2 linked regions of the Sus scrofa genome follow. The protein of the gene in region 1 purifies or fractionates together with the protein of each later gene. This does not show direct contact. Links are inferred from orthologs where the notes say so. Each region holds a gene or a part of one and is shown in the gene's direction. Other genes may lie near its edges. The genes, in order: IRF2 and IRF2BP1.

Region 1 (3,807 bases):
TTAAATGTTACCTGTAGTTTTTTTTAATCTACAACTTTAACCATTTAAAAATGTGCAATTTGGTGGCATTAAGTACATTCACACTATTATGCAGCCATCACTACCATCGAATTCCAGAACGTTTTCATCACCCCAAAAGGAAACTTGGTACTGTTATTAAGGAGTCACTCCCCAATTCTCCTTTCCCTAGTTCATGGCAACCAGTGATGTGCTTTCTGTCTCTTTGGATTTGCCTTTTCTGGATATTTCATATAAATAGAATGATTCCCTTTATGGCCTTTTGTGGACAGTGTCTTTCGCTTGGCACAGAGTTTTCAAGGTTCATCCCTACTGTAGCCAGTTTCAATACCGGTTTTTTTTGTGGCTGAATAATATTTCGTTTTATGCATATACAACACGTTCTTATCTCTTCTGTTGGTTGATGGACCTTTTGCCTATTGTGAGTAGTGCTGCTATGAACATTCATGTGTCAATATTTGCATGGAAAGCTGGTTGGAATTCTTTGAGTGAAATTACTGGATCATGTGGTAATTTGTGTTAATTTTTTTGAGAAACAGCCAAAGTGATTTCCAGAGTGGTTGTGGTGTTTTACACTCACACTAGCAGTGTGAGGGTTCTAGTTTCTCCACATCTTGCCAACACTGATTTTTTTCTGTTTTTGTTTTGTTTTGTTTTTAATTCTAGCCATCCTAATGGGTTTAAAATGCTCTCCCATTGCTGTTTTGATTTCCATTTGCCTAATGACTAGTGATGAGCACTTTTCGTGTGCTTCTTGGCCATTTCTTTATCTTCTTTGGAAAAATATCTGTTCAGGTCCTTCGGCCATTTCAAGAGGGTCCTTGGAGGATAATTGCTAGGTTCAGTCATTACTTTTGGATTCATGATTTGAGTGTGGTTCCTGGGCGACTAGGTTTGAGGATGTGTGTGTGTGCGCGCGCGTGTGTGCGAGTGCACATGTGTGCTCTGAACACGCAAATACTTGAAAAGATTTATTCATCACAATGAATTTTGTATCTTAGGGGATAGATTTCAGATTATGTCACCCCAGATCTCCTTTGACCTAGAAAAAAAGTACAACAGCAAATTCTTTAAGGGTCTCTATCTTTAAGGCATAAACCTTTAGATTCTGATGGTGCACTTCAGGAAAAATTCATTCGCTGAGATAAATTCATTTTCAAAAAGTTTTTCCGTCTTATGTGCATGTCCAAAACTGCACTGAGTGATTTTCCTCTCTGACTTTCATATATATTAAAAAAAAAAAAAATTCACCCAGCCTTCTTCTGATTAACTGCCCTTTGAAAAATGGTGAACCTGAAACCCTCCTCTTTCTGTGGACGATACAGCCTGAACATGCAGAGATTTATGAAAAACCTCTCGCTTTCAGTTCTTCTTTGTTGACGAAGTTTTAAATACATAAATTTTCCCCTTTAACAGTTCTGGGGAGTCCTCAAATGTTCTGGCGTATTTTTAGTTCAGGCTTTATAACTGGCTCTGAGGAGAGGAGCCGAGCCCCTTTTGGGTTGGTGGGGACCCCTTTTCTTTCATTGTGTGACACTAAAGTGGTGGAAAATTCCTACTAACATTTTCTTTCCTGCTCCAGGGTATTGTGCAGAGATCTCCAGACCTAGAAATGATCAGACCTACCTTGAGAGCTTAAAAAAATTAGTTTCCCTAGGCTTTAATCTCCAGGGAATCCAAGTGAGCAGATTTATTGTAAGACAGGGCAATCTTCTAAATCCAGTCCCTGGGAGACATTGGGTGGTGTAAGTGACTTGAGTCTGGGATCACATGACCTTGGTTTTGAACTTAGACCCTTGGCTAGATAATTTATTTATGAGAGTGCCTCTGTTTCCTCAACTGGAAAGCGGAAATGATAATATAATCACAGTAGTTTGTTAGGGTGTTGCAGAAACCAAAACCGAGACCATGTAAACATGCAAAGTGAACCAGGTTTCACAAAATTAGTTTTACTACAAGTGTCACTTTGTTCCCAAAGTACTAGTTTCTAGACCTATGTTTGCCAGGGTCAATTTAAGCAATTCTGAGTCCCCTCTTGGGATGTAAGAGCGAGGAGGAGGTTCTGCTATAAGAAGAATTGAATTAAGGGACTTTGCTCCAGAAAAGGAGCATCTTCTTCATGTAATTGACACATCTTTCTTTGCATGTGTTGCTGTTTCGTGCGGAGTGGTAGACACAGAGGGGTTAGAACAAAATCTATTTCTGTTGGCTGCTCAAGCAGATATTAAGTCTTGACAATGGCCTTGGACACCCCGACTTCCCATTAACAGCAAAATGGTATTATTTTGGAGAGTTGCCTAATTTTTAATTTACCTAAGGCAGCTGGAGTTCCTCTTTATCAAGTGATGGAAATAAGTCATAAGAGTAATTAAGCATTGGAAGTTTCAGTAAGTGCTCAGTTTCCTGTGGTCCTCTACGGGAAAGGAGGCCCAGGTAACAGAACACATGGGCATATCCCAGATCATCACTGTTGACCTTGGTATACATTCCTATTCTACCAGACTCCATATGCCTTTCTCCACATGTCTGGTGGACTGTCAAGGGTTGGGGTCCAGGGGGAAAGTGGGTTTACAGTAGATATTCAGCAAACCCCAGTGGTACTTACTTACTGGAGAATCTTGTTAGCTAGGACCAAAGAACCTTCTGCAGTGGTGGCCTGAAACCCATGTCTACGTTTCTTAATTACTTTTATTTTTCAGGAAAAGAAGATTTTTCAGATCCCCTGGATGCATGCAGCTAGACATGGGTGGGATGTGGAAAAAGATGCACCACTCTTTAGAAACTGGGCCATCCATACAGGTATCAACCCCGTGTTGTTTGTAGAGGCTGGCACTGTTGCTTTTGCCGTTGTGGTTTTCATGCCTTTTTAAGAATTGAGCTGTGGGTGTTCCCTCATGGTGGGGCAGGTTAAGAATCTGGCGTCATCACTGCTGTGGCTCTGGTTACAGCTGTGGTGTGGATTCGATTCCTGGCACGGGAACGTCCACGTGCTGTGGGCATGTCCAAAAAATAAATAAATAAAAATTGACGTATAAATTGTAAGGTATTTAAAGTATATATATTTGTGTATGTGTGAGAACATTTAAGTTCTACTGTCTTGGCAAACTTCAGTTATACAGTAAGACTGTTAGCTATTGTTTATGTTTATTTTTACTACCTATGTAAAATCTCCTGGCTTTTAGAGTCAAGATGTAGCTCCGAAAAACCTGTGACTTGTCCCCAGGCGCATCTGGCACATGTCGCAGGGGTGCAGATCTCATCACTCAGAAGCGATGCTCCTATTCCCTAGACACTTAGTCCTGAGATTTCCCGTAAATGTGCTATTCAGAAGTTATCCACGTGTGTCCCGGGGAATAGAGAACGACTTGTTCTGGAGCTGGGTTGAATTTATCTCCCCCAGAGGTAGCCGAGATTATATGTACTTATAACAAAATTTAACTAGGAAACTTATTTATAGAATGGATTTTACTTCATGATAAAGAGGCCTTCCACTTACCCGTGCTTGTTGGCCTCCTGACCTTTTCGCTGTCTTTTCTCCTTACTTGGATTTTCCCTTTCTCTACCATCATTCTTTTCTCTTAACCGGGTTTGTAGAACCAGGGTGACCAGTGTGTCCCAGTTTGTTCAGAACTGTTGGGTTTTAAAACACAAATTCCCTCATCCCCGGAACCTTCTCGGCCCTAAACAACCCGGGGCAGTTGGTCACTGTAGGTGTGACCTAGAATTGAAAGCGTTCTCTGTACCACCTGCCCAGCTCTCCTGTTTCCAGAAATTTTGAGTCTCGATCTA
Region 2 (4,482 bases), on another chromosome or scaffold:
GATTCTACGGGGTCTTCATTTTTTTCCTGAGAAGTTTAGAGACTTGCCCTAAATTTGTCCGGTGACAATCCAGTTCATCTCAAGGCAGCATCTGGCCAAAACTCCTTACTCCCACTACTGTTAACTAAAGCTGGTTAAGGATCCAGGGTTATCACTGCAGTAGCTTGGGTCACTGCTATGGCACCAGTTCCATCCCTAGCCTCCATATGCCACAGGAAGCAGCCCTAGAGAAAGCAAAAAGACCAAAAAAAAAAAAAAAAAAAAAAAAAAAAAAAAAAGGCCCAAAGACAATTTTAGGAGATACATGGATGGCCTTTTTAATGGCTCTATATGTACACAGGTTTTTTTTGTTGTTCGTTTATTTATTTTTTGCTTTTTTTTTTTTTTTTAAAGGCCGCACCTGCAACATGTGGAAGTTCCCAGGCTAGGGGTCAAATCAGAGGTGCAGCTACTGCCCTATGCCGCAACAACGCCAGATTGGAGCCCCATCTGCAACCTATGCTGCAACTTGTGGCAATGCCGGATCTTTAACCCTCTGAGCCTGGCTAGGGATCGAACTGGCATCCTTATGAATACTAGTCGGGTTTGTTACTGTTGAGCCACGACAGGAACTCCATATATACGTAATTTTAACTTATTTTATAAAAATGTGTACAGCACACACAAAAAAGTATAGTACATAAAACCCATGATTATGGGAGTTCCCGTCGTGGCGCAGTGGTTGACGAATCCGACTAGGAACCATAAGGTTGCGGGTTCGATCCCTGCCCTTGCTCAGTGGGTTAATGATCCGGCGTTGCCGTGAGCTGTGGTGTAGGTTGCAGACGCAGCTCCGATCCCGCGTTGCTGTGGCTCTGGCGTAGGCTGGTGGCTATGGCTCCGATTCGACCCCTAGCCTGGGAACCTCCATATGCCACGGGAGTGGCCCAAGAAATAGCAAAAAGACCAAAAAAAAAAAAAAAAAAAAATCCAACCCATGATTATGCACATACTGCTTAGGATGGAGCAGAAATAAACTTCTTTTTCTCGGGAATCAACTTCAAGAAAAATGTCAAAATAATACAAGTCGTGAACAAAATTGTGAAGCTGAGACTGCAAATCAGACCTGCTATGGTTGCAGTGGAATAAGGGAGAGTTGGCAGGTATTCCCTGATTAGTTTGAAAACCACTAATGAGTGCAACTCACAAATAATTCAAAATATTTTTGAGCGCTTAACAGGAACCTAGGCCTAAAGAGGGGAAGAGGCTGACGTGGGTTAGAGTCTGGAGACCCTTCTCCACCCTCCACATACCCACGCTTCCAAGCCTGCCCTGCGGGGTGCGGTCGCCAGGAAGAAAACACGGGGGTCCCCATAGCCTGCATAGGCCTAGATGGTAGTAAGCAATCAGGGTTGGAGAAGGGTGGTCTAGCTCTTGTTCTCCCCAGAAACTAAGCACCCCCCACCCCCAACTTTGCCATCCCTGCCCTCCTTCCCTTCCTCAACATTAATGAGCCATACAGGGTGAGGGTCCTTTCAATTTGGTGCTGGGAAAACATGGAAACACCTTCCATAAATTGCGCGCGCGCTGGGGGGGGGGGGGGGGACTGTAAGGACAGACAGCGGGAATCGGGAAGGCCTCCCCCAACCTTCCAGACTGCGGAAGTGCGTCAGCTTGTTGGCCCCGCAGGGCATTTTGGGAATTGTAGTGAAGTTGGGAGGGGGGCGGTGACACTGACGGTGTAACCCTTTGGAGACCAGAGCGCTTTGGCAGGGCTGGAACAGAATTGGGGGCGCCCCACCACTCCCTTCAGCAGATAAGGCAGCTGAGGCTGGCAACTTCAGTTCTCTCCTTTCTCCGGATGTTGCTGGCTCCAATCAGAGGCTGCCATTCAAGATTTGGGGCAAGAAGAAGTGCCAAGTGAACAGCCCTGCCCAACGCTTAAGTTGCCTGCTTCCCGTCCCCCTGTCCTGAAACCTTCCAATCAAGACCCCTCCGCCCCGCCCCAGGAGCGACTGCCTCCGTAGCCAGTCATTGGCCCACCTTTGAAGGGCGGGAATTGAGCTTCAGAGAAGGCAAGATTTTTGCCTAAAGCCGCACAGCAAGTCGGAACAGAAGCTGGATGCCCGGAAGCCTGTCCACCTCCTACAATTTTTGAGTCCGTCGTGGCGCTCGCCATTTGTATCACATCCCTGTTTCCAACCCTTGTGCTCGAAATGCTCGGAGCAAGCCAAACTCCCTGCCCCGCGGCGACGAGTGGTAAAGGTCGCGCAGCGGCGAGCCCGCGCCGTCCTCTGCTGCCTGCCGTCCCCTTTAAGAGCCGGCCCCGGCGGGACTACGTTTCCCAGAAGGCTTTGCCGGCGCGTTATGTAACTTTCCCTGCGAAACGGCCTCTGGGGCAGAAGGAGGTGGAGGCGGCGGTGGCAGCCGTTGGAGCGGAGGTGGCGGGAGCGGCGGGAGCCCGAGGCGGCGGCGCTCGCGGCCCATCGCGGGGCCCGAGCTGTGCGCCTCGGCCCGGAGCCCGGAGCAGGCTGGGGCGCCGACGTACCTTTGCCTGCCTTTTCGAGGAGGCGGGAGTGAGGAAAAAGGCTTAGGGCCCGGGGGGCGGGGAAGGGGGGCCGGGCCTGGATCCGCGGGGAGGCCGAGCCAGAGGCCCGACTGTGGCTCGCGCGGTCCTGGGGACACAAATCGAACGTCGGCAGTGCGGATCGAACGGCGGCGGGTGGATTGAGGGGTCCTGAAGGCGCGCGTTTGGGGGCTATGGCGTCCGTGCAGGCGTCCCGCCGCCAGTGGTGCTACCTGTGCGACCTGCCCAAGATGCCGTGGGCCATGGTGTGGGACTTCAGTGAGGCCGTGTGCCGCGGCTGCGTGAACTTCGAGGGCGCAGATCGCATCGAGCTGCTCATCGATGCTGCCCGCCAGCTCAAGCGCAGCCACGTGCTCCCCGAGGGCCGCTCGCCGGGGCCCCCGGCCCTCAAGCACCCGGCCACTAAGGACCTAGCTGCCGCCGCCGCACAGGGTCCTCAGTTGCCGCCTCCACAGGCCCAGGCCCAGTCATCGGGAGCAGGCGGCGCTGTCTCGGGCCAGGACCGCTATGACAGGGCCACATCATCTGGTCGCCTCCCACTCCCCTCGCCCGCCCTGGAGTACACCTTGGGGTCGCGCCTGGCCAATGGGCTGGGCCGCGAGGAGGCTGTGGCAGAGGGGGCGCGAAGGGCCCTGCTTGGCTCCATGCCCGGCTTGGTGCCCCCCGGGCTGCTGGCAGCTGCGGTGTCTGGCCTGGGAAGCCGAGGCCTGACGCTGGCACCCGGCTTGAGCCCTGCCCGTCCACCCTTCGGCTCCGATTTCGAGAAGGAGAAGCAGCAGAGGAACGCGGACTGTCTGGCAGAACTGAATGAGGCCATGAGGGGCCGGGCAGAGGAATGGCATGGGCGCCCCAAAGCTGTGCGGGAACAGCTGCTGGCGCTGTCTGCCTGCGCCCCTTTCAATGTCCGCTTCAAAAAGGATCACGGGCTGGTGGGTCGGGTGTTCGCCTTCGATGCTACTGCCCGCCCGCCGGGCTACGAGTTTGAGCTGAAGCTCTTCACCGAATACCCCTGTGGTTCTGGCAACGTGTATGCAGGAGTCCTGGCCGTGGCTCGTCAGATGTTTCATGATGCTCTGCGGGAGCCAGGCAAGGCACTGGCCTCATCAGGCTTCAAGTACCTCGAATATGAACGCCGACACGGTTCAGGGGAATGGCGCCAGCTGGGGGAGCTGCTAACCGATGGTGTCCGCAGCTTCCGAGAGCCAGCTCCCGCCGAGGCCCTACCGCAGCAATACCCAGAGCCAGCCCCCGCAGCTCTGTGTGGCCCACCCCCACGAGCCCCATCCCGGAATCTGGCTCCCACGCCGCGCCGTCGCAAGGCATCCCCTGAACCTGAGGGTGAGGCCGCTGGGAAGATGACCACGGAGGAGCAGCAGCAGCGACACTGGGTGGCACCCGGTGGCCCATACTCCAATGACACCCCTGGTGTGCCCTCACCCATCGCCGCTCTGAAGAACGTGGCCGAAGCCCTGGGCCACTCCCCCAAGGACCCTGCCGGGGGTGGCGGCCCTGTGCGTGCAGGGGGGGCCAGCCCGGCAGCCTCTTCCACAGCCCAGCCTCCAGCCCAGCATCGTCTAGTGGCCCGCAACGGTGAGGCAGAAGTTAGCCCCACTGCAGGGGCAGAAGCAGTTAGCGGGGGTGGTAGTGGTACTGGAGCGACCCCTGGGGCCCCCCTGTGCTGTACCCTGTGCAGGGAGCGGCTGGAAGATACCCACTTCGTCCAGTGCCCCTCAGTGCCCGGACACAAGTTTTGCTTTCCCTGCTCACGGGAGTTCATCAAGGCACAGGGCCCTGCTGGGGAGGTGTACTGCCCCAGTGGAGACAAGTGCCCGCTAGTGGGCTCCTCCGTCCCCTGGGCCTTCATGCAGGGTGAGATCGCCACCATCCTTGCTGGAGACATCAAGGTTAAGAAAGAA

The links.
Region 2: the proteins of IRF2 (region 1) and IRF2BP1 purify together in Homo sapiens (affinity purification with mass spectrometry; 4 studies listed by BioGRID and IntAct, counting the BioPlex papers as one, with this or other methods). This does not show direct contact. The link is inferred for Sus scrofa from reciprocal best matches to the Homo sapiens genes IRF2 and IRF2BP1.

The regions. Positions count from the first base shown.
Region 1 is NC_010457.5:45,581,632-45,585,438, reverse strand, and holds part of IRF2 (interferon regulatory factor 2), read left to right. Parts: intron 1-2,717; coding exon 2,718-2,817; intron 2,818-3,807. UniProt on the Homo sapiens protein: Specifically binds to the upstream regulatory region of type I IFN and IFN-inducible MHC class I genes (the interferon consensus sequence (ICS)) and represses those genes. Also acts as an activator for several genes including H4 and IL7.
Region 2 is NC_010448.4:52,197,123-52,201,604, reverse strand, and holds the start of IRF2BP1 (interferon regulatory factor 2-binding protein 1), read left to right. Parts: upstream 1-1,394; 5' UTR 1,395-2,739; coding exon 2,740-4,482. UniProt on the Homo sapiens protein: Acts as a transcriptional corepressor in a IRF2-dependent manner; this repression is not mediated by histone deacetylase activities. May act as an E3 ligase towards JDP2, enhancing its polyubiquitination. Represses ATF2-dependent transcriptional activation.